Linked DNA regions of Macaca mulatta. The protein of the gene in region 2 interacts with the protein of the main gene of each other region in a pairwise test. Links are inferred from orthologs where the notes say so. Each region holds a gene or a part of one and is shown on either strand. Other genes may lie near its edges.

Region 1 (8,211 bases), on a different chromosome or scaffold from region 2:
TATGCCAATCACAGAGTTTCAGCATACCTAAAGTGGCCAGTTGTTCAAACTGTGTTCAAATAAAGCAAACGCCAAATTGTAACCAATTCTATTTCTGTACCTCATTTTTGTCTTCTGTACATCACTTTTCTTTTCCTGCCCATAAATCTTTTTCAACCACGAGGTAGCGCTGGAGTCTCTCTGAACCTATTGCAGTTGAGGGGCTACCCAATTTGCACATCATTCTTTGCTCAATTAAACACTGTTAAATTTAATTTGACTAGGTTTGTCTTTTAACAAAGATGTACAGTTCAATTATTTTTTGCATGTTTTCAAAGTTGTGTAATGATCACCATAATCAAATGTACAATTTTTTATCACCTTCCAATTAGCAGACACTACCATTCCTTCCTACCCCTCCACTCTCAGCCTAGGCAACCAAAATTCTCTACAGTTATGTCACTTCTGAATATTTCATATAAATGGAATCATATAATATGTGTTCTTTTGTGACTGGCTTCTTTCACTTAGTACAAGGTTTTCAAGGTACTTCCATGTGTAACATATACTTTATTCCCTTTTATTGCCAAACAATATCTCATGGTATGGAGATATCACCTTTTATCTATTCATCAGTTGATAGATCTTTGACTTATTTCTGCTTTGGGGCTATTATGAATAATGCTGATATGAATTTTCATGTGTACATTTTTGTGTGGACTTATGTTTTCATTTCTCATGAGTATATACCTAGGAATGGAATTGCTGAGCCATCTGGTAACTCTATGCTTAACATTTTGAAGAATTCCCACTGTTTTCCAAAGTGGCTGTACTATTTTATATTCCCACCAACAATGCATGAGGGATCCAATTTCTCCACATTCTGGACAACACTTGTTACTATTTGACTTTTTGATTATAGCTGTCCTAGTAGGCATAAAATCATATCTAGTTGTTCCTTTGAGTTGCATTTTCCTGCTGGCTAATAATGTTGAGGTTTTTATGTGCTTGTCTACCTTCTTTAGAGAAATGTATATTTAGATCCTTTGCCCATTTTTAACGGTTTTTTAAGTTATCTTTATATGTGTTTTATTATCTTTATATGTTCTGAACACAAGTCCTTATCAGATATATAATTTGCAAATATCTTCACACATTCTTGGCTTTTTCTTTTCACTTTCTTGATACCCTTGGAAGTACAGATGCTGTTAATATTGATGAAATCCAATTTACCTACTTTTTTTTTGTATTTCTTATGCTTTTGGAGTTGTATCTAAGATGGCTTTGCATAACCCAAGGTCACAAAGGTTTACTCCTATGTTTTCTATTTAGAGTTTTATAATTTTTCTCTTAAGCTTGGGTCTATGATCCATTTTGACTTAATTTTTATGTGTGGTATTACAAGGAGTCCAACTTCATTCTTCGGCATATAGATAGCCAATTATTCCAGTACCATTTGTTAAAAAGATTACCCATCTACATTTTTTCAACCCTTTTCAAAAAAATTAGTGGCTCATACATGTAAGGGTTTAGTTTGTGGACACAATTCTGTTCCATTGATCTTTCTATCTATTCCTATGCCAGTTCCACACTGTCTTGTTTATTGTAATTTTATAGTAAATTTTGAAATTGGTAAGTTTGTTCTTTTTCAGAATTGTCTTGACTATTCTGGGTCCCTCGCACTGCCACATGTTTTTAGGATAACTCCGTTCATGTCTGCAATAAAAGCTTGCTGGGTTTTGATAGAGATTTTGTTTAACCTGTAGATCATTTGAAGATTAATGCCATTGTAACAATATTAAATCTTCCAATCCAAGAACATGGAATGTCATTCCATTTATTTAGGTCTAATTTGTTTCAACAATTTTGTTGTTGTTGTTTGCTTTCAGAGTACAGGTTTTATACCCTTTTGTTAAATTTATTTCTTAGGGTTTTTTGTTTTTTGTTTTTTTTTAAATGGAGTCTCACTCTGTCACCCAGGTTGGAGTGCAGTGGCACAATCTCAGCTCACTGCAACCTCCGCCTCCCGCGTTCAAGCGATTCTTCTGCCTCAGCCTCCTCCTCCTGAGTAGCTGGGACTACAGGCAAGCGCCTCCACGCCCGGCTTTTTTTTTTTTTTTTTTTTTTTTTTTTTTTTTTTGTATTTTTTGTAGAGACGGGGTTTCACCATGTTGGCCAGGCTGGTCTCGAATTCCTGACCTCGTGATTCGCCCGCCTCAGCCTCCCAAAGTGCTGAGATTACAGGAGTGAGCCACTGCGCCCGGCCATTTCTTAGTATTTTTACTCTTTTGATCTATAGTAAGTAAAATTGTTTTTATCTTTGAATTTTTAAATTTTTAACACAGTTCAAATCAGTGTGTCTGATTTCATCTTCTTCTCTAACAAACCAGGGTACCAGAACTGCTTCAGTTTCTCTGCCTTCTCTTTGTCTGTGATGACTAATGTATGAAGGTATCTGCTGCATCAAACTTTAAACTTCACATTATCCTTATTTTTCTTGACTTTGACAGATCTGGCATCCTTTCACCTGGCTATAAGCAGAAAGTCCTTGATTTCCTTAACTTTTTGAGGCATGGCAGCATGTCGGGCGGGAGAGGACACAGACCCACACAGCAAGTGGTGAGAAGCAAACAGTGGAATTGTTTTCTTAATTCCATTTGTTGATTGTTTATTGCTAGTGTATAGAAATACAACTGATTTTTGTATATTGATCTTGTATTCTAAAAACTTGCTCAACTTGTTTCTTAGTTCTAATAATTAATTGATTTCTTAGGGCTTTTTAAAACAAAGTCACGTCATCTACAAATAGAAATTATTTTACTTTCTTTCTAATCTGGATGCCATTTATCTTTTTTTCTTGTCCAGTTGCCCTCACTAGAACCTTTAGTACAAAGTTAAATAGAAATGGGAACACTAGACATATTGTCTTGTTCCTGATCTTAGACATAAAAACGTTGTTTTTCAATATTATGTGTGATATTAGTTAAGTTTTTCATAAATAAACTTTATAGTTTGAGGAAGTTTCTATTCCTAGTTTGTTGAGTGATAGCATGAAAAAGTGTTGAATTTTACCCAATAGTTTTTAAAAAAAAATTTAGACAACCATGTAGGCTTTGTCCTTTATTCTTGTTTTTTACTTCTTTAATTTCATTTTTATTGATACACAATAGATGTACATTTTTTAGGTACATGCAATAATTTAATGCATTCATAAAATTTGTAAAGATCAAATCAGTGCAATTGGGATATCCATCACCTTAAATATTTGTCTTTTCTTTATGCTAGAAACATTCAAATTATTTTCTGACATATACAATAGATTACTGTAAACTATAGTCACCCTACTCACCTATCAAACATTAATTGATTTTTGGTAAACTAATCTAATCTTACTTTCTGGCAGCAACCTCACTTGACCATGGTGTATAGTCCCTTTCATATGTTATTGGATTCAATTAGCCAGCATTTTGTTGAGAATTTTTATCCATACTCATAAGAAATATTGATGTCTATACTCATAAGAAATACTGTAGTCTTCTCGTGATGTCTTTATCTCGTTTCGTTATCAGGGTGATACTGGCCTCATAGCATGAGTTGGGAAATCATCCTTACTCTTCTATTTTTTGGAAGAGTTTGTGAAGAATTGATATTACATCTTCTTTAAATATTTATTGGGTTTTTTCAATACATTTTTTTAAACGCAACTTGGGTAGCATGTCCAATAGGAAGAAATGAGTGTCCACCCTTTAATTTCATAACCCTGGAATTAATCCATGTAATCTATGATCCACAACAGTATTACCAAAGTTCGAGTTACTCATAGGAAAGAGAAAGAAGTTCTCTAATTCGTCCTTAAAAGTTTTCCAAGTTCAGGGAAAAAAAAAATGTTGAAGAACATGAATCTCCGCAGGAAATGATACTCCTGTACCCGCAGCTCGCTGCCCCTCATGACCCCTCGCTAGGCGGGGTTCGAGGCCAGGTGGACACTAATCTGATAGTTGACAGGGGACGACTGTGGCATCATCCTTGCTGCCGTCAGTATCCTGGGAGGGAGGAGGTTGGGCCGGGAGGGTCTCCCGGGGCGGGGCGAAGGAGGAGGGAATGCAAAACAGAGCCTCGTCCCCGGAACCCAAGAAGCAGCAACGCCCCTCACTATAAATTCGGAGCTGCCTCCTCGCCGATGATTCCAGCGCCTGACAGCCAGGATCCCAGGCAGCAGCGAGTGACAGGACGTCTGGACCGGCGCGCCGCTAGCAGCTCCGCCGGGCCGCGGCGGTGATCGATGGGGAGCTGCTGGAGCGGACCCAGCGAGTGAGGGCGCACAGCTGGGACGCCGAGGCGGCGGGCGGGAGACCGCACCAGCGCAGCCGGCCCTCGGCGGGACGTGACGCAGCGCCCGGGGCGCGGGTGAGTCCGCGCGGACCGCCAGGCACGCTTGGGGGACTTCAGGGGTGGGGTGCTAAGTTTCATGTCACGGTGTCCTAACTGCTGGCTCTATACTGGGAAGCTCTCTGGGACCAAGGAAAGAGCGACCGTAGTTCTGGTCAACGCCTGCCCCTGGAGCTGGCCACACTTCACCAGATCAGGTGAGGGGCTTCTGGAACGGGAGGGAACAAGGTAGGTTTGTTTGCCACGTGCCCCGAAATTCTCAATCCATTTTGACCAAACTCTTCCGAGTGTAAGCAAGAAATTTACAGAAATAAGATGCAACTCAATAAACTTTCTTCCTGAGGCTTTTAGTTAACTCTTGTCTTTTAGCCATCATCTGAGTCGGAAGCCCATAGGACTCTGCAAGGCGTTAGTTTAAAAGTTGTGCTACTTTTGAGGTGAAGTTAAGAGTGTCCCCATCCACGCTCTCTGCTTCCCAGACGATGTCCCTGCGCTGCTCACCTCCCCTTAGCTCTCTCCCTGCAAACTATAGCGGTGGGTCCTAGACAGGGGACGTCCTTCAACCTGGGCCAAACTCTCCCACCCTCAGGATTCCTAGATGCTCTTTGAATGATCAAACTGAGGAAGGAGAAGCAAGATGTCTCCACACTCCAATTCCTACAGCCTTAGCCAATGCATTTGTGTAACTGAGACAGGATTTTAGCAAAAGGTCTTCTGTTTCACAGGACTAAACAGAGCCTCTGGCGGGCCACTTCCCGGCACCCAACTCCATCCTCCGATTTTGTTAAATGTCCAGGTAAACATCTCCACAGTGCCAGCCTGTTATAGTCTCCTGAAGACCTCAGAAATTCTTCGCCAAAGTGTCTCCTTCTGCACTGTTTTTTGGGGCAACCATTTGTGACCTGGCTATTGAGCTCACCTGGGCCCCCTTCTCTTCGTTTACTAATAGCCTCGTTAAGTATTAAAAACTTACTTTCCCCCACTCAGGAACCCTCTCCTAACGAAAGTTTGGGTACTCACTTTCCCCTGGGATCAAATTTGGGACTTGGCGACATTTATTTCCTGTGTCATTCTGAGAAGATAAAGTAAGAGTAAGAGGCAAGCAATTTGGCACCCTATTGATCTATTTTATTACTTGGTTGAGCAACTTGTGCTTCCCCTTGAAGCTGCTGCATCCCAACATGATTCTCTTGTTAGTTACCACCTGAGGTTCTTGGATCTCCAGGTGTTTATTTCACATAGCATATGCTTTAACCCTCTTATAAGTCTTCTCTAAGAAAGGAACTGCCATACTTCCCTTGTCTTCTCTGATGTCTCCCCAGCTGTAAAGGCCCCACCTGCATAACCTATCCTCAGGCTGTGATGTATTCCCGGGTGCCCTGGTACCTTCTCCTTCCTCTTCACCACCCTTCCTGACAGTGTAGGAGCAGGAAAGCATGGGGAGAAGGGAAATGGAGACTCCCACTTAACTTGCTGTGTGATAGTAGGAGCATTATTTCACAACTCTGAACCTCAAGTCTCTGCCCATAAGGTCCCCTACAGTGATATAATTCCTTCCTTCCTTTTGTTTTTTGGTTATTGCTTTAAAATAAAAGTCTAAGCTTAAGGCTAGGTTATAGAAACTGCCCATCATAATTGCTAGGTCTCAACATTTGCTTAAGTTCTGTGATTCTTAGTTTCACCTCTGTTATCCACTCTCTATCCCCGCCACCTTTTTTTTCCCTGACTTCATTGTTCTTTGTTCCCATCTTGAGACCTTGATTTCTGGTTCTGCTCTTCTTTGACCTTAAACTGAATCAACTGTTCCATCATCCAACTCAGAAGAAAATTGTTTTCCTTCCACCGGTTCCACTGATGCCAATGGAAGACTTGTCTTCCTTGCGATTTGCAAAATGTCTTTCGGTCACTGGTGCTGCGGCAACGCTGCTGTCCCACAGCATTCTAAGCTTAAATCTTTCTCTCTCTTACCCTGGGTCGGTATTCAAAAAAGGGCAGATTTGTGGGTTGCTCAGGTTTCTCACTTTTCTTTTCTTTCTTTCTAGTTTGGGGTCAGAGTTGTGTATTTGTGTATATAATTTTGTTTTGGTTTTTTGTTCCTGCTGCTACTTATGACTGCTGTTATTTCGATTACGACTAATTAATACTAATGATTCATTTTCCCCTATGCTAGAGGGAAAATTAAGGAAGAAAAGTTTAATCTGCTACTTACCCAAAGCCCAGGTGAAATACTTAGCTGAGAAGGAATTTAAAACTCATAGTTTAAATGCATGATGCATGTCTGCTGTCATTTTATCTGTGCTGCCACAGTGTCCTTTCAAGCAGATAACTGAGAGTTGCTGTATTTTGCCTTTGAATTTGTTACAGGGACAAAAATAGTGACCCCTCACATTTATGTGTTTTGGCTGCTTAATGCAAGCTCTTGCCCTCTAGCCCCATGCTTATTAGTTTACCTAGCTCTTTTTTTGCTCGGTCGTAACTGGAGAATGCCAAAGAGTCTCCCAAGTAGGCTACCAAATTAAGAATGGTGTTTAAAAGTTTGCAGTAAGCCCAAGTGTTGTAAAGATTAAAATGCTGTTTTGAAGATGTGCTGTGGCAATAAACAAATATGGAGCCAGAGCAACAAAATGTGACCAAGTGTCCAAGCCTAGCTTAGGAACACTTTTCTCCCATGTTATCTAGCAAACTGACAAATCAGCTTTCCAACTCGTAATGATTGGAAAATGCTATTATTTTTCTTCAGAATAGTCTTAATGTTTCTTTTTCAAAATTGCCTAAGGTCATTGGATTATGTGGTTTGTGTTTCTTTTCACGTAGGTGCTTGTTAAAGCAGTATACTCAGTCTCTGATAAGCAACAGTAAATTTGATCGATTTGTATCCTAAATTTATCTATCGCTTTACATTTTGTTTTATTCATAATATGAACTTTAGCTTCTAAAAATCAACTTTTTAATAGTTTAATATATAAAGCCATCTTAAATCAAGGAATATCTATATGACTTAAGGTAGTATTCCACTGAATTGAAAGTGACTACCGTAATCCTATTAAAACTCTAAAATACAATGTTTTAATCACAGAAAAAAAAAGTCTTATAATTTAAAGAACTATAAATTGCCGGATGTTTCCCTAGTTATTACATTAGTGACAAATTAGACAACTGGAAATAGAAAACAGAGTATATGTTTAGAACAGTCATAAAAGGACTAGTGACTATTGCTGCTAGCTGTGGTTGTATTAACATTAAAATATTTACTATCTGATTTTTCTTCTTTCTTATCATAGCAGATGCTTTGAAAAAATTTCTTGCATATGAAAATCAAAATTGTCTTCCAAAACATTTAAGTAACAGAAAAATTCATTATGTAGTGTAAATGCTGTATGATTACATTCCTTTACATTATTCTTATAGTTAATTTAGAAGGGTTTGAATTGTTTCTGTTTTGTTTATATTTGTTTCCTCAATAGGTGCATTCTCTAACTGTCTTAAGTAGAAACAAACGTCTACAATCTATCAGTGATTATCAGTCTCCTTCCTATTACCAAGAATATTTTTATTGTGTTGTTAGTCTCGCGTTTAATTATTTTTTTAACATTTAAAAGTTTGGAAAATGGGTAAAAAAATGAGTGTGCCTTGTTTCCTATTATTACAATGTGCCTTCCTATATCAAGTCCCAATTCTAGATGTTCTTCAAACTTGAAATCATAGAATTAATAATCCTTCAGTTTAAGTCAACTTTTATGTGATTTCTCGTCCACTTAGACACACATAGATGCCTTCATCTTCACCAAATAATGTAGAAATTTTATTTAGATCAATGGATTTAAGTACTCTGTATGCTTAACT
Region 2 (7,474 bases):
ACACTCTCCCGATCCTGCTCTTCTCCCCCAGACTGGGAACTGGGTCTCTCCCGATACTCACTCTTGTTCGAGTTGAGCCACGGGACACTTGTACTGGGCGGTGCTGAAGAGGCAGATGTCGGCGTACTGTCTCACTGTGGGGGGGGACAGGGTCAGGCAGCTCTGGATGGAGCACAAGCCACCCCCACAACACAACTCCAGACCCCGTGGCGTGGCCCCTCCATGCTCCCCCCTGGAAGCAGTAAACACCGAGGCTCCCTGTATCATTCTGGAACAACCTAAATTCTTTGAGCCCTGGTGGGTCTCCCGCCCTGGGAAATGGCCTGGGCTGAGATCACACCAGGAGCCACCTGTGCAGTAACACCCTCCCCAAAGACCCCCTTCCAAACCCCACCTCCTACCAGAGACTTTGATCTTCTTGACGGTCTTGGTGGAGTTGTTGGTGACGTGGACATTTACATTGAGGGGCTCCCCATGGTAGTACAGCTTTTGGGGGGAGGGGGTCATATGAATTGGATCTGGTTTTTACTGGTCCCATCATCAGTGTGTCCCCAAACACAACACATTGTTCTGGCCCCCTCCCATCAAACCCAAGCATACGGCAACTCTCCACATCCAGCCAAGGCAACCTCCTTTACAAATGTCATCTTGACGTGTGGCTTCGCCCCCCCTCCCCTGGGTCTAAACTGCACCGTGGCATCCGCGTCACCCTCTCACACCCCACCTCCTTGTCCAGGGAAGCCTCGAGGTGCAGGGACCGGTCAGACATGAGGAAGTGGCGTGTGGTTTCTGCTGAAGGCTGGGGGCCGGGTTTCTCTGGGGCAAACTGCACCTTTCGGATCACCAGTCGCACAGAGTTCCTGGGATGGGGGTGGGGGCAGAAGGGGGTCAATCCTCAGACACCTAGACCCCTACTCCTCCCCCGCACGGGGCCTGGGCTCCTGGAAAGCCTCCTCTTACATCATAGAGGAGGTCGCGTCCCTCACCTTTTGTGGCTTTTCTCCTCTAGTGATTTAGCACAGAAGGCTCGAATCTCAAAGTCTACGCCGCAGGCCTCAGGAGGGGGAGAAAAGGCCACATCTTACCCAAGGCTCCCGCCACCATCACTCCCCTTCCTTCCTCCCCCTTCCCTCCTCTTGGGCAGGGATGCTTGCCCCATTGTGGTCTCACGACCCTGGCGACCAAGTCTTCCTCTCCAAAGCCCCGAACCTGGCAGAGGCTTGGTCATGGTAGTGCAAGGGGCAAGGGGAGCCCCCATCCCCAGATCCATGCAGGTCCAGAGAGCAGAAGGCAGGGTCACGCGTGCATCACCATACACACCCCACTTCCACGGAGACACTGGCCTACCCTCGGCCCCACCCTGGCATCTCGACAGTTCACCCTCTGGCTCAGCTGTGCCTCCAGGCTCCTGCTGGCCCCTGTCCTGCCCTGGGAGCCCTCAGAGCTGTTCCTCCCATACCTTCCCTGTGTCCTCTGGTCCTGGCTGCAGTGTGACAGAGCATGGAAGATTCTGGGGTATCTGTGGCAGAGGAAAGAGAAGACTTGAGTCCTTCCAGAAAGCCCCCAGATCTTCCTCCAAATCTCAACTTGCGAGGCTGGAGAGGTTGGGCGCGGTGGCTCACGCCTGTAATCCCAGCACTTGGGAAGGCCGAGGTGGGCGGATCACCTGAGGTCAGGGGTTCTAGACCAGCCTGACCAACATGGCGAAACCCTATCTCTACCAAAAATACAAAATGAGTCGTGTGTGGTGGCGCACGCCTGTAATTCCAGCTACTCAGGAGGCTGAGGCATAAGAATCGCTTGAACCCAGGAGGCAGAGCTTGCAATGAGGCAAGATTTTGCCACTGCACTCCAGCCTGGGCGACAGAGTGAGACTTTGTCTCAAAAAAAAAAAAGAAAAAGAGGCTGGAGAAAGGACTCCTGGGGATGAGAAAGGAGGAAGGAAGGGACCCAGAGAGAAGGCAGATAATCAAGGGCTTCCTGAATGCATGGGGACCCTGAAGGGAGGTGGATCTAGGGTCCCTGCCTCACTGTTTCTTCCAGATCTGTCCATAGCGGTGCCTTACCCCCACCCCAGACAGTCCCAGCCCAGCCCCCTGGCCCTCAGAGGGCAGGGGCATCCTCACGGTGAAGAAGAAGGGGTGTGCATGCTGGCCAAGCTTCCTCAGCAGCCGGTCCTGCAGGCGGGTGGCAGGCCGGGGCGGGTTGGGCACCGGGGGGAAGGCCTGGTAGGTGGCGATGAACAGGTCTTTACGGAAGGACAAGCCCAGCACATCCAGGTCTTCACGGCCATAGCGGAAGGCGCAGGTGAGGGTCACAAACACTGGCAAGGGAGGGTAAGATGTGTGGTCAGGAGCCCCGCTTCCCCAGTCCCCCAGCACCTCGCAGCCGCTGCTCCTCCCTCAGCAGCATAAGACTTGCCTGAACCCTACTCCTGGCTTCCACCTCCAGCCTCCATCTCTCTGGGGTGCCCTTCCAAGGCCAGCCCATTTCACTTCCCTAGCCCCCACTTCCCCTGAGCCCCCGGACTTGGGGCCAGTACCTTTGCGGTCCTTCAGGTAGTCAGGGTCCACAAGCACCACGCCATCTAGGAGGGGGACACACCAGCTCACTTCCGGAAAGAGCCGCCGCCCCCTTTCCTGGGCCCGGGAACTTCTTCCCCTCTTGGGGAACGAGCTGCTCCTTTCTGAGAACACTTACCTACAGGGTCCACCTTGTCCAGGTGATCTACGAAGTCCCGCTTGCCCAAGTACACGGTGAGCTGAGGATGTCAAGGGGTCACAGGGGAGATTGGGGAGGATGGTGACAGGGCATCGGAGCCCTCAAAACTGGCTGCCCTGCCCGGGGATCTCCAGGCTGGGCTATCAGGAAGGAGTTTCTCCAGCTTTCCTCCCAACAGTGTTGGAAAGTGAGGGTGGCGGCGTTTCTCAGACTAGTGGACCTTAACGCTTTTTAGCTGCTCCCTAATCTCTGCACACCTCTGCCCACCAGCCCGGTGTGTGTGTGTGTGTGTGTGTTTGTGTGTGTGTGTGGCCTCAGCCCACCCAGTCAGGTGTGCATGTGAACATGTATGTGCATGTGTGTCTGTGTGTGTGTGTTTGCATCCTCAGGGAGGACTCAGCCCAACCAGCGAGGTGTGTTTGTGTGTGTCTGTGTGTGTGTGTGTGTTTGCATCCTCAACCAGCCAGAGGGGTGTGTGTGTGTGTGTATTTGTGTCTGTGTGTGTCCGTGTGTCTATGTGTGTGTGTCTTTGGATCTTCAGGGAGAACTCAGTCCTACTAGCCAGCTAGAGAGCAGCTGCCACCCTCACGAGGTCCCCTCAAGGGGCTCTAGGATCAATAAGCCATAGCCTGGGTGGGGGCTGTTAACTTTTCCCAGCCCCACGCACCTTGGGTTGGGCCCTAGGAGGGCTACAGGCACATGGCTTGCTTCTGGCCGCCTCCTCTGTGATCTGCTTGGGGACCCAGGCCTGCCCCACCCAGCCTGTGGCTGGCTCAGGCTGAGCAGCCTCTGCGGCAAGGGGCTTCAGGAGGAAAGGAAGTCGGCTCTTAGCTGTCACAGGAAGTGGGGAGCTAGGGGTTGGGGATCATCTTTGGGCAGGCTGGGGATCGTCTAGGGGAAGGCCGGGCTTTGTTGGGGCCCAGGGAGGGTCGAAAGGGTAAGTGCTGTGGAGACTCACCTTGCAGTTAGGGCTCGACTTCTTGAAGACCCTAACAAAACAGAAAGGGAAACCCCACTGCCTCCCTCAGACTCAGCAGGGACCCCACACCAGGACCCTCTCCCTCCCAGGCCTCCTGCCTGAGGCTGCAGGGCTTTGCCCAGCTCTGCCCCTTTCCCCTTCTTCCCGGAAGGTCCTTCCTATTTCTAACATGGCGGCAAGGGGAAATGCCCCTCTCTTGTCCACCCTCCTTCGTCCCCGTCCCTCCCTAGTAATGGCCACTGGTTGCCCTAGGAACCACCCAGGCTCTTCCCAGAGGACCAGAATGGGCAGGTTGCCTCAGTGTCTGGGTAAGACCTAACCATCTTTCCATCTGGTCTACAGCGCTGACTGCTGGAGCATAGAGGAGAGCAATGACCCTGGCCTTTGGCCCTAGATGGTTTCTACCATAGGCCCTACCCAAGTTTGACTCTACTCTACTCACCTCCAACTGTCCCCAACTCCGACCTCAACAGCTTAAAAGCCTGTTTGAACGCCCAGCCTTTAGGAAGCTGACCCAGCCCAGACTCTGGTCACTCCTTGTTTTGGGTTCCTGTCACACCTTGTTGATGTTTTACTTGTGGTGTGGTAGCACACACGGACAGTTAGCTGCCTCCCTCCTCAGACTGTGAGCCTCGGAGGCCTTATTCATTTACGCATCTCCAGCACAGTGCCACCCAGATCATGAAGATGCTAATGCTGCTAACATTCAGAGTGACTTCTCCATGCCCAGCACCGTTCCACGTGTTTCAAATGTGTCATCTCTTGTAATACTCTGTTGTTTGAGACGGAGTCTCGCTCTGTTGCCCAGGCTGGAGTGCAGTGGCGCAATCTCAGCTCACTGCAACCTCCGCCTCCCAGATTTAAGTGATTCTCCTGCTTCAGTCTCCCAAGCAGCTGGGATTACAGGCGTGAGCCACCACGTCCAGGTATGTTTTGTATATATATATTTTTTGAGATGGAGTCTCGCTCTATCACCAAGGCTGGAGTGCAGTGGCACGCTGTCAGCTCACTGCAACCTCCACCTCCTGGGTTCAAGCGATTCTCATGCCTCAGCCTCCTGAGTAGGTGGGATTAGAGGTGCCTGCCATCATGTCTGGATAATTTTTTATTTTTTTGAGATGGAGTCTTGCTCTGTCGCCCAGGCTGGAGTGCAGTGGCGCAATTTTGGCTCACTGCAACCTCTGCCTCCCAGGTTCATGCCATTCTCCTGCCTCAGCCTCCCGAGTAGCTGGGACTACAGGTGCCCACCACCACGCCCGGCTAATTTTTTGTATTTTTAGTAGAGACGGGGTTTCACCGTGTTAGCCAGGACGGTCTTGATCTCCTGACCTCGTGATCCGCCAGTCTCGGCCTCCCAAAGTGCTGGGATTACAGGTGTGAGCCACTGCGCCTGGCTGCTAATTTTTATATTTTTAGTATAGATGGGGTTTCCCTATGTTGGCCAGGCTGATCTCGAACTCCTGACCTCAAGTGATCCGCCCGCCTCAGCCTCCCAAAGGGCTGGGATTACGGGCTTGAGCCACTGCGTCTGGCCTGTATTTTGTAGTTTTTTAGTAGAGACAAGGTTTCCCCAAGTTGGCCAGGCTGATCTCCAACTCCTGACCTCAGGTGATGCACCCGCCTCAGCCTCCCAAAGTGCTGGGATTACAGGCGTGAGCCACCACGCCCGGCCTTAGGTTGCAGTGAGCCAAGATTGCGTCACTGCACTCCAGCCTGGGTGACAGAGCAAGACTCCATTTCAAATAAATAAATAAATAAATAAATAAATAATAAAATAAAATAAAACTACCCAGTGATGGAGGTCCTAATGTCTCTATTTTCCAGGTGAGGAAACTGAGGCAGAGAGAGGTTAAGTGTTTTAAGGTCACAGAGAGAGTAAATGGTGGGAATTAATAGAAACCAAGGCGGTCTGGCTCCGAGTCCATCCTCTCAATCAATATTACACTATCCGTCTCTGTAGCTGGCATCAATAGTTTGTTCAATTGAAGGGTATTCGCTTTCCAGTTGCTGAAACAATTTAAGCCTGGACTCCACCCACTGCTGGGAGGGTAAGGAAGTGTTTGGCAATCCCAGTGATATGGCCAATTGTGAGCCTATTCTTTGAAGCATCACCTTACTCCTTCCAATCCACTCTGCCTCAGCAGTGATCCCTGGAAAGGATCCTCAGATAGACAGCAGAACGTGAAATCCTGCCAACTAGCCCATCCCTCCTCCAACTCTACCACCCCATTCCCAGAGGACCCCAATGGGCAGGTTGCCGCAGTATCTGGGTAAGACTTAACCATCTTTCCATCTGGTCTACAGCTCTGACAGCTGGAGCATATAGGAGAGCAATGACTCTGGCCTTTGGCCCTAAATGGTTTCTACCATAGGCCCAGTTTCTGCTACAACTTCACTTGTCCCTTCTTCCCAGAAAGCCAAGCTGTCCAAAGATTATAAGGTAAAGGGTATGGAGGCCCCCAGGTATTCCTAACCAATAAAAGGGAATAAACATCGATACGGTGGCAGCTAGAATAAACATCCTATCTTTTGTCCCAACTTGGGGGCTGAGTGCTGTGGCATCATCCAGGCTCTCCCTCCCCTTTGCTTCTGGTTTTCCTCTTTGTCCCAGGGTGTCCTCCCATTAGGAGCCCTGGCACAGGGCTGTGACAGCCACAGTCAGTGGGCCAACTGCAGTGTGGCTCTGGGGCAACTGCCCTGGAGCAGCTGCAAGGCACCTGCCCTTTGGATCCTAACCCAGCCACCTCCTGCCAGGCTGAGGAGGAGCAGCGTGCAGATACTAGGCTGGCCAAGGAGGCAGAGTGTGGGGATGACCAGGGAGGTGCCCAATGGGGGCAGGGGTAGCTGAAGCAGATGTCCTTTCACACTTCCTGCTATTCTCTCCATTTCCTGTGGCCCAGAATTTGATGGAGGTGAGGGAAATTGGGTCAAGTCAGCAGTCCCCTTTGGTCCATCTGTCCCACTCCTTGAACCACATAACGGAAATCAGGGGCCTCCCACAAGGCAGCAACTTCCCCTTTCTCTGGGATGTTTAAACCCTAATCCAGGATACCGATCATCTCTCTGATGATCTCTTTCTGATACTCATCTACTTGACGCTCAGAAACCTGGGTTCTCCTACTCTATAGGTTGGAAGTGGGGTCGATATGATGCTTTGCAGAGCAAGCCAGAGCTCAGGACCAATTCCCTATTCCCGATCCCCTCTGGGTTGAGGCCTACAGCCCCAACCTTTCTGTCTTTTGCTCCTGCTCCCCTGGGACTCAGGCATTCACCCCTTACCCCTTGGGGGTGTTGAGTCACAACAGGAAGTGGATTTTGCTAGAGACCAAAAAAGAGAACTCGGGGTATCAGTGGAAGGAAAGAGCCTCGATTGCACAGAAAACATCCGGGGAGTGGACGCGCGCCCAGCGTGAATACTGCCTCCCCCACCCCCAGGGAGAGGGATCCGATCTAGTTTCAGGAAGGGTCAGGCTCTCCCAAGATGAAGCTGTTGCTCCTGGCAACCCAGGGGAAGGTAGAAGTTTGGATGAGGAGCCACCCGGCCCTCGGGACAGGTGTGGGCAGCGCGACTACCTGGGGGATATTGGACAGGAGGCTTTGCATTGGCTTGGCACGAGTCTGGAGGGGATCCCCCTCCCAGCATCCAGCCTCCCCGTACACGACCCCTCGGGGCCAGCCACCTGCTCCTCCCTCCGTCCCTGCATCGCAGCCTGCCCAGACTCCTGGGCACGGGAGAGCCCAGTAGTCTGGCCCCACATCCCTGAGAGAACCCCG
Region 3 (7,942 bases), on a different chromosome or scaffold from region 2:
CAATCAATCAAATACCAACTGTGGAAATGCTACAGAACAACTTGATTGCTTCAACAAATAAACTACCAAGAAAACAAAGAAATAGGAGGGGGATCTATGGATGAAGAGAAACTTAAAAGACGTATCAACCAATCAACAATGTATGGACCTTATCGTGCTCTACCTTCAAACTATTAAGGAAACTTAAAATTCATGGGGCAGCTGGAAATTTGAAGATTGACTAGTTATTTGATGATATGAAGGAATTATTACTTTTTCACCTTTAAAAGAGTCAGGACCTTTAGAGACCCACCGCAGTGTGCTGTATAACTACTGCATACCTACCGAGCACCCTGAGGTTGTGCCTGTCTGTATAACTACTGCATACCTACCGAGCACCCTGAGGTTGTGCCCATCTGTATAACTACTGCATACCTACCGAGCACCCTGAGGTTGTGCCCGTCTGTATAACTACTGCATACCTACCGAGCACTCTGAGGTTGTGCCCGTCTGTATAACTACTGCATACCTACCGAGCACCCTGAGGTTGTGCCCGTCTGTATAACTACTGCATACCTAGCGAGCACCCTGAGGTTGTGCCCGTCTGTTTTACAGATGAGCCCGATCGCTTCTGCACATCACCCAGATAAGCAGCAGACCCACTGGGAGTCTGACTCAAAGTCCTGATCTGAACCACTGCTCCGAGCTACCCTACCACATGTATTCTCCCGTTTAGCTTTGTCTTTAACAAACATTTCCTGGGCACCCACTGTGTAATTAGCATCCTGAAAAATAATGAATGAAATGACATGATATTTAGGAATTCCTTGAAAATAATTATGGGTGGTAAGTGTGTAAGAGGATAACATTAGAGATGAAACAAGATTGGTCAGGAGTTAATAACTGTTAAAGCAGAACGCTATTCTGTTTAGTTTGTATATGTTTGAAAATTCCCATAATAAAAGTTAAAATTTAAAAAATGATGTTGAAACCGGATCATACAATCAAGTACAAAATATCAGGAATTAATTATTCTGAAGGAAAATTATGGAAAAATGGCACCTTCCTAACCAAGTGTCAGGTATAACTACTGTATGTATGTAGACCAAAAATAGTTGCCCTATTGGCAAATCAATAGTCTTAAGAAGAAAAAAAATCTGGTCTCTGTTTTATGTCTCACGAAAACTGGTCTAGTCACTATTAACTGGTTTGTCTGGTCCTTTTCTTTATCCAGAAAATTAAAAATATTTTATCTTAGACACATTCAAGAATCCCCTCTAATGTTTATTCAGGGAACCAAATAAACAGATTTTAGTCTGTGAACAAATTAATGTTCTGGCACCCTGAAAATTAAATTACCAGGAAAATCAAAGCTGTCCAGAGAAGTCTATGCAAAAATAGTATTGTTTTTAACTCTGCAGGATCCTTTTGAAGAAAAATTTAAAAGTTAAATCAAGGAAAACATTAAATAGATTGGTGGTCATTCTTCCAGAAGAAGTTAAAAGCCAAAAGAGAATACTCAGAGCTGAGGGACTCAGGAAAGAATCCTTATCTAGGGAGAGATCTGGGTTCGGATTCCACTCACCAGCTGCTTGCTAAGAAGCAGACTACTCAAACTCCTGAGCTTCCGTTTCCACAGGGCTCCAGTTACAATCAAATGAGTATCTGGGCTGGCACCTGGGCAAACAGGGCCTGACTCTCCTGGCCTTAGGCTACCTTTCCTGCTCTCCTCACAGCTCCTCCCTCCCACACAGCCACTCCTGGAGGATGACAATCTGCAACCAAGCTGAATGAATCTGTATTTGGCTTGGCTCACAGCATTTAAAAAAAAAAAAAAATTAATTAGCTATTGCCAACATTTAAAAATCGGAACAAATGTGGAGTGCTGCCTTCTGTTTTAGAGACAGGGTCTTGCTCTGTCACCCAGGCTGGAGCACAGTGGTGCGATCATAGCTCACTGCAGGCTCAAAATCCTGGGCTCATGGGATCCTTCCACCTCAGACTCCCAAGTAGCTAGGACTACAGGTGGATGCCACCACACCTAGCTAATTTTCAAAAATTTTTTGTAGAGACAGGGATCTCACTGTTGCCCAGGCTGGTCTTGAACTCCTGGCCTGAAGTGATCCTCCCACATCAGCCTCCCAAAGTGTCTGAGATTACAGGCGTGAGCCATGGCACTAGTCAAATTCCACCTTCTTCTAGAAAACTGCTGGGTAAGGTTCCAGTTCTTCAGAGTCCCCACGACTCTGTGCCCTTACACCTGGCCCTCCAGACTGATTCTCAACTCCACAGTGGGCTATGGTCCTTACCTGGCCCTGCTCCTTCATACCTCTGCCTCTCCCTGCCTAGCAAATTTCTCATCACCCTCAAGGCCCCCCAGCATCACCTGTCACCTCCTCCACATTTCCATGGCATAGCCCCTCCACGACAGCAAGGGTTGCACAGTCCTGGAACTAAGTGTCTGCATGCCTGCCTTCTCTACTGGGCTCCTGGGCTCTCTTCGGAAAGGGACCCTGTTGCTATCTGCCTTGTGTCCCTAGGGCCTAGCAGAAAGCATGACCTAGATAATGCAGAATTCAGTAAATGTCTCCTGCATGTGTGGAAGAAAGCTAGAGCTAAACCATTATAAAAATGTGAGATTTTACATCACAGCTTGTTCCAACGGTTAGCAATTAAAGGGGTCAAGGACACCAAAATGTTTCACAAAATAGAACAAGCTTCCATCTGCTTACAAGTTTCACACGTTAATCAGAAGTCACTAAATTAACAGATAAAGCAGAGACAACAGGGAGACTGGGCCATTTCTTTGATCATTCATTCATTCATTGAGCTGATACTACTGAATACTTACTGTGTGCTTTCTAAGTACTGGGGATAAAGCAGTGGACAAATCAGACAGCTACCTGTTTTCACAAAGTTACATCCTAGTCGGGGAGACAGAAAATAAACAGGCAAATAAATAGAAACGTTTCAAACCAGGTAAGAGCTAGGAAGGAAATTTTTAAAATAATGAAATAGCATGACTAAGGGAAGAAAGAGGGTGGTCGAGGAGGGCCTCACCCAAACCGAGACATCTGGCCAGAGGAAGGAGCAGAAAGAGCTACTTGTGCCAAGATCACAGACAACTCCAAAGACGAGGAAACAGCAAATACAAAGGTCCTGGGGCAAATGCGGGCTGGCATGTTCAAGGCGGGCGAGATGAGTGGACTGGGGCAGCAGTCTTCTGGGAGAGGGGTGTGGTGGTAAGGGATGTGGGCTGGGTCCCCTCTGGCACTGCTGGACACTGAGTGTGCAATGACAAGGCAAGGGAGGCGTGCGTGGGGAGGCGGGAGGCTGGGCGGATGAGGAGGGGGTTCCTACACCACTCACACCGGCAAGGGCCAGCACCCTGCCCAATCTTCCACAAATGTTCACCGGCGTCCTGCCCAGGCGTCTGCATACACTCACACAGCCTGACAACAACCCTGTCCAGAAGAGGCATTTCCCCACCTTCCTGAAGGCAAAACCGCGGCAGAGCGAGGGTCAGTGCCTTGGTCAAGGTCGCGGGGACGCGACCCCGGGCCCCTGGGCCCCCGGCGCAGGAGTGCAGCTGTTCGCCCCACCTCCGCGAGGGATGGCGCCCGCAGACCCCACGGGCAGGTCGGCCGGGCCAGGCCGGGGAGCAGGCCCGCAGCCCGGAGCCGCTGACAGCCGGGCGGAAGGGGGCGCCTGCGGCATCCCCGAGCACAGGGGCGACGGCTGCGGCTGCCAGGGCCCCGCAGCCCCCGGCCCACCCCGAAACCCCGGCCGCGCGGTTCCCCCGCCGCCCCTCCCCGCGGGCCCGGCCCGAGCAGCCGCCGCCAGGCCTAGCCCGCCCGCCGGGCTCACCTCGCCTCCCCGCCGCCGCGCCACGGGGAGAGGGCGGGCGGGCGGACTGGCGGCGCTGCGTGCTAGTCACTCCTGGCTCCGCGGCCCCGGCTCCGCCACCGGCCCGCCCCGCCGCGCTCCGCCCCGCCGCCGCCGCCGCCGCAGTGGGTGTGAGGGGCGCCGGGGCGCTGCGACCCTTCCGGTCCCGCTCCCTTCTCTGCCGCTGCCGCCGCCGCGGCGCCCGGTCTGACCGACCCTCGGGCCGACCAATCAGCGCGCGGAGAGCGGAGCAGGCGCGGCCAATGGCGCCTGGGGGGCGGGCCGCTGGAGGTGGTGTGGGCGGGGCCGGGGGCCGGGTCGGGCGCCCGAGGTCCTGGGCCGGGGTTCCGTGGGTTCGACGCCCCCGGGCCTTTCAGTGGCGTCGGCCGACCGGCCATGGCGCTCGGTTGCGCGCCGCGCACGCGGTGAGCTGGAGACGCAGGCACTGCGCGTCCCACCAGCTGAGCCCGCTGTCCGCGCGAGGGGGCCGCAGCTCGGGGGAGAGGGTGGCCCGGAGGACCGGGAACCGGGCTGGAGGCGCGCGGGGCTCACACCGCGGGGTCCGCGGGGAGCCGGGCCTCGCCTACAGGTGCAGGCTCGTGGCGGCGAGGCGGCCTGGAGCAGCACGGGAGGCCGCCCGTTTCGGGGAGAGCCCGGGGCGATCGCGGGGAGAGGCCGGCCTGGCGTCCGGGAGCCCGGCGTGCTAGGGCCCGGGAGGCGGGGCTGGCCTTGTACTCGGTTGCTCGCTGCGGCGCCGCAGGAACGGGTCTGTGGGGGTGTGGGTGAGGCCAGAAGTCGGGTTGGAGAAGGGGAGGGGGTGCGAAGAGATGGCCGTGTGTAGACAGGTTACCCGATGGGTCGGTGACGCAGGAGGGGAGTGCGCTTGGTGGCGGGGTGACTTAGTTGACAACATTTAAAAATTGGGAGGTGCGGCAGGGCGCGGTGGCTCACGCCTGTAATCCCAGCACTTTGGGAGGTCGAGGCGGGTGGATCACCTGAGGTCAGGAGTTCGAGACCAGCCTGGCTAACCAGGTGAAATCTGTCCCTATTAAAAATACGAAACAATTAGCTGGGCGTGGTTGCGGGCGCCTGTAATCCTAGCTACTCGGGAGGCTGAGGTAGGAGAATCACTTAAACCCGAGAGGCGGAGGTTGCAGTGAGCCGAGATTGCACCATTGCACTCCAACCTGGGCGACAGAGTGAGACTCTGTCTCAGAAAAAAAAAAAAAGGGAGGTGCTCAGTCAAGTCTCTGAGAGGGGTGGGGGGCGGGGCGAGGAGTCCCTTGCTCAGGGCCCCCTAGGGACTGGGACCCGTTGACTCTTGAGTTGCTTTTGAGGCTGGATCAGGTACCAGCGGCCTGGGGGTCGTACAGGATGGGAGAGGCCGGGACTTGGGATGTTGCCAGATCTACGTTGAAAAGTGAAGCAGGAAGCGCGGCACGAGGCTATGCACATGGGGAAAACCGCGGAGAGCCGGGCTTTGGGGACTGGAAGAGTGGGAACAGTGGTTGACAAATGGTGAGTGGGGGGTAGAACAGCAGAAACACAATACCAGTATCCACGGAGTGGCCAGGGCCAGAGTTGGGAGAAGGAACAGGACTCTGCAGATGGGGAGGGCAAGGGGCTGGGTGGTGTGAAGGGTGGTTGCAGACTTTGGGGAGGGCAGCTAGCCTGTGACCCAGGTTCCAAGGGCACTGAGGGCTGGGCCAGGCCGCTTGGAGGCACCAGAGCCTCAGAGGAGGGGTGGGGTAGAGGAACGGATGCAGCATGGTGTCCTCCTTGGCCACCAGAGGGAGTTTGCTAAATCTCAGCATGGCTCATCGCGGCTTGAAATTCTACCTCGCAGTGTGGCCTGCATTGAGGAGGGCCCACACCTGTCCTTACCTCAGACTCACCTGCCACCTGCCTCAGGTGCATGAGAGAAAACAGGAAACCAGAAATTGCCAGGATCAAGGATCATGGGAAAAGAGTAAAAGCCTAGCTGTCAGAGCTGAGGTTCCACCAAGGAGCACTGATGGGTGCTTCTCCTCATTAGGAAGGCTACGCGGTGGCTCACACTTGTAATCCCAGCACTTTGGGACGCCGAGGGGGGTAGACTACCTGAAGTCAAGAGTTCGAGACCAGCCTGGCCAACATGGTGAAACATCATCTCTACTAGAAATACAAAAATTAGCTGGGCGTGATGGTGGGTGCCTGTAATTCCAGCTATTCAGGAGGCCGAGGCGGGAGAATAACTTGAACCCAGGAGGCAGAGGTTGCAGTGAGCCGAGATTGCTCCACGGCACTCCAGCCTGGGCAACAGAGCAAAAACTCTGTCTCAAAAACAAAACAAACAAACTAAAAAAAAAAAAACGGGGACACCAATTTCAAGCACTGCAGGCCTAACTTCATAGCACTCACATCATGTCAAGTGAGTAACCAAAAATCAGTGTACATGTGTACACACCTATACATATCTCACACTAAGTTTTCTGTAAGGGTTCTTTTTATTCCAGAGACACTGCTTTTTTTCTGGTTTATGAAATACAGTGAACATTTATGGACACAAAGCTGAGGTGACAGGGTGGGGATGGGGGCCTTGGAACAGCACCAAGAATGCTGGTTGAACCCTCCAAGTGAAAAGATCCTGCCACAACATATGTGAACCAGGTAGGACACGTGAGCATGTCTTACCTGATCTGGTCTGTGGTGGGGAGAAGCAATTGAGGGAGGCCTCCTGGGCCGGAGGAAGCTGTTGCTAAGGCTGCCCGGCAGGATATGTTGGGCCTGCGACTTAGGCAGAAAGGGCACTCAGGCCCAAATGTTCAGACGTGAGGACCTGCTTCCTGTGTTCAGGGAGCCACAAGTCACCTGGTCTTAGGGAAAGGTGAGGGGACTGGAGAGTTCTGAGGACCTTGAGGTAGATTGGCACTGCCAGGCCTGCGGGCTGCCTTTAGCTCACTGATAGGCCTTGTTTAGCCCAGAGAGGTTTGCTTTTTTTAGTTGATTAGTTAAGAAACATTTAAAAATTAGGAGGTGCTATTTTGAATATTTATCCTCTATGAAACTCATGTTCATACTTAATCTCCAGTGTGGCAGCACTGGGAGGTGGGGCCTCTGAGGGTGGTTGGGATTAATCTGATGGATTCATGGATTAAAGGGTTATCACCGAGTGGGACTGGTGGCTCCTTTAGAAGAGGAAGGAAGAGCGGAGCTGGCATGTGAGCATGCTCAGCCCCCTGGCCATGTGACACCTGGACCATCCTCAGGACTCTGCAGAGTCCCCACCAGCAAGAAGGTCGTCATCAGATGCAGCCACTCAACCTTGGACCTCTCAGCCCCCAGGGCTATAACAAATACATTATTTTTAAAAGTCAATTACCCAGTTTCAGGTATTCTGTTGTAAGCAACAGAAGCAGACTAAGACAAGAGCACGGCAGGGTGGAGGAGCTAGGGGTGCCTGGGGCATCGGGGACTTGTCCGGAGACCAGCTGTATGTGCAGCCACAGTGCCTACAGGTTTCTGTGGTCCTGATATCCCCCACCCTTGATTGGCCTGGATTCCAATCCGACTCATTTGTCAGCTGTGCTCCTCTGGGCAAGGGATTCACTTCTGCCTGCCTTGGTTCTGTAGGAAGTGGTGTGGAGAAGGAGGGAATCAGGAAGAGCGAGGTGCAGCCCATGCAGCAGGGATGGTGTACGTCCTTATGCTGACTGGCCTCTGTCCCCTCAACACCGTGCCTGCCCTCCCCCGACTCCACTAACCCACATCTTCCCTTCTCCCCAACCCCTACAAGGACCCAGAGATGTGCTGAAGGGTGTAGGTCAGGGCTGCCCCAGCTGTGTGCTGTAGAAAGCTAAACTGCACTTAAACCAATGGGGATGTTTGTTGGGAGGTGCCTGTAACATCACACCCAGAGGAGGCGGGGGTAGAGCTGGCCTGGAAACCCTAGGGCCACGGAGGCCACCTCAGGCCCGAATGGAGTTTGACAACCCACAACGATGGACTCTGATGGTCCCCCGGACAGGGCTTCTATCCTGGGACTGGTCAGCCATGCTGGGGAGACCGGCTCACACGAGGCCATGCCAGGGAAGGGCAG

Evidence for each region.
Region 1: the proteins of ARRB2 (region 2) and AGTR1 interact in a two-hybrid assay, tested with the Homo sapiens proteins (2 studies listed by BioGRID and IntAct, with this or other methods). The link is inferred for Macaca mulatta from reciprocal best matches to the Homo sapiens genes ARRB2 and AGTR1.
Region 3: the proteins of ARRB2 (region 2) and MAPK9 interact in binary tests that used the Homo sapiens proteins (3 or more experiments, as listed by UniProt). The two-hybrid records come from large-scale screens. The link is inferred for Macaca mulatta from reciprocal best matches to the Homo sapiens genes ARRB2 and MAPK9.

What each region holds. Positions count from the first base shown.
Region 1 is NC_133407.1:51,685,591-51,693,801, forward strand, and holds the start of AGTR1 (type-1 angiotensin II receptor), read left to right. Parts: upstream 1-4,161; 5' UTR 4,162-4,447; coding exon 4,448-4,565; exon of another isoform or gene 4,566-4,596; intron 4,597-8,211. UniProt on the Homo sapiens protein: Receptor for angiotensin II, a vasoconstricting peptide, which acts as a key regulator of blood pressure and sodium retention by the kidney.
Region 2 is NC_133421.1:6,240,684-6,248,157, reverse strand, and holds part of ARRB2 (beta-arrestin-2), read right to left. Parts: exon of another isoform or gene 5,502-7,474; intron 4,824-5,501; exon of another isoform or gene 4,622-4,823; intron 3,711-4,621; coding exon 3,680-3,710; intron 3,553-3,679; exon of another isoform or gene 3,524-3,552; coding exon 3,389-3,523; intron 2,762-3,388; coding exon 2,701-2,761; intron 2,588-2,700; coding exon 2,543-2,587; intron 2,324-2,542; coding exon 2,067-2,323; intron 1,520-2,066; coding exon 1,460-1,519; intron 1,055-1,459; coding exon 987-1,054; intron 861-986; coding exon 725-860; intron 487-724; coding exon 402-486; intron 135-401; coding exon 62-134; intron 1-61. UniProt on the Homo sapiens protein: Functions in regulating agonist-mediated G-protein coupled receptor (GPCR) signaling by mediating both receptor desensitization and resensitization processes.
Region 3 is NC_133411.1:189,304,264-189,312,205, forward strand, and holds the start of MAPK9 (mitogen-activated protein kinase 9), read right to left. Parts: upstream 4,051-7,942; 5' UTR 3,847-4,050; intron 1-3,846. UniProt on the Homo sapiens protein: Serine/threonine-protein kinase involved in various processes such as cell proliferation, differentiation, migration, transformation and programmed cell death.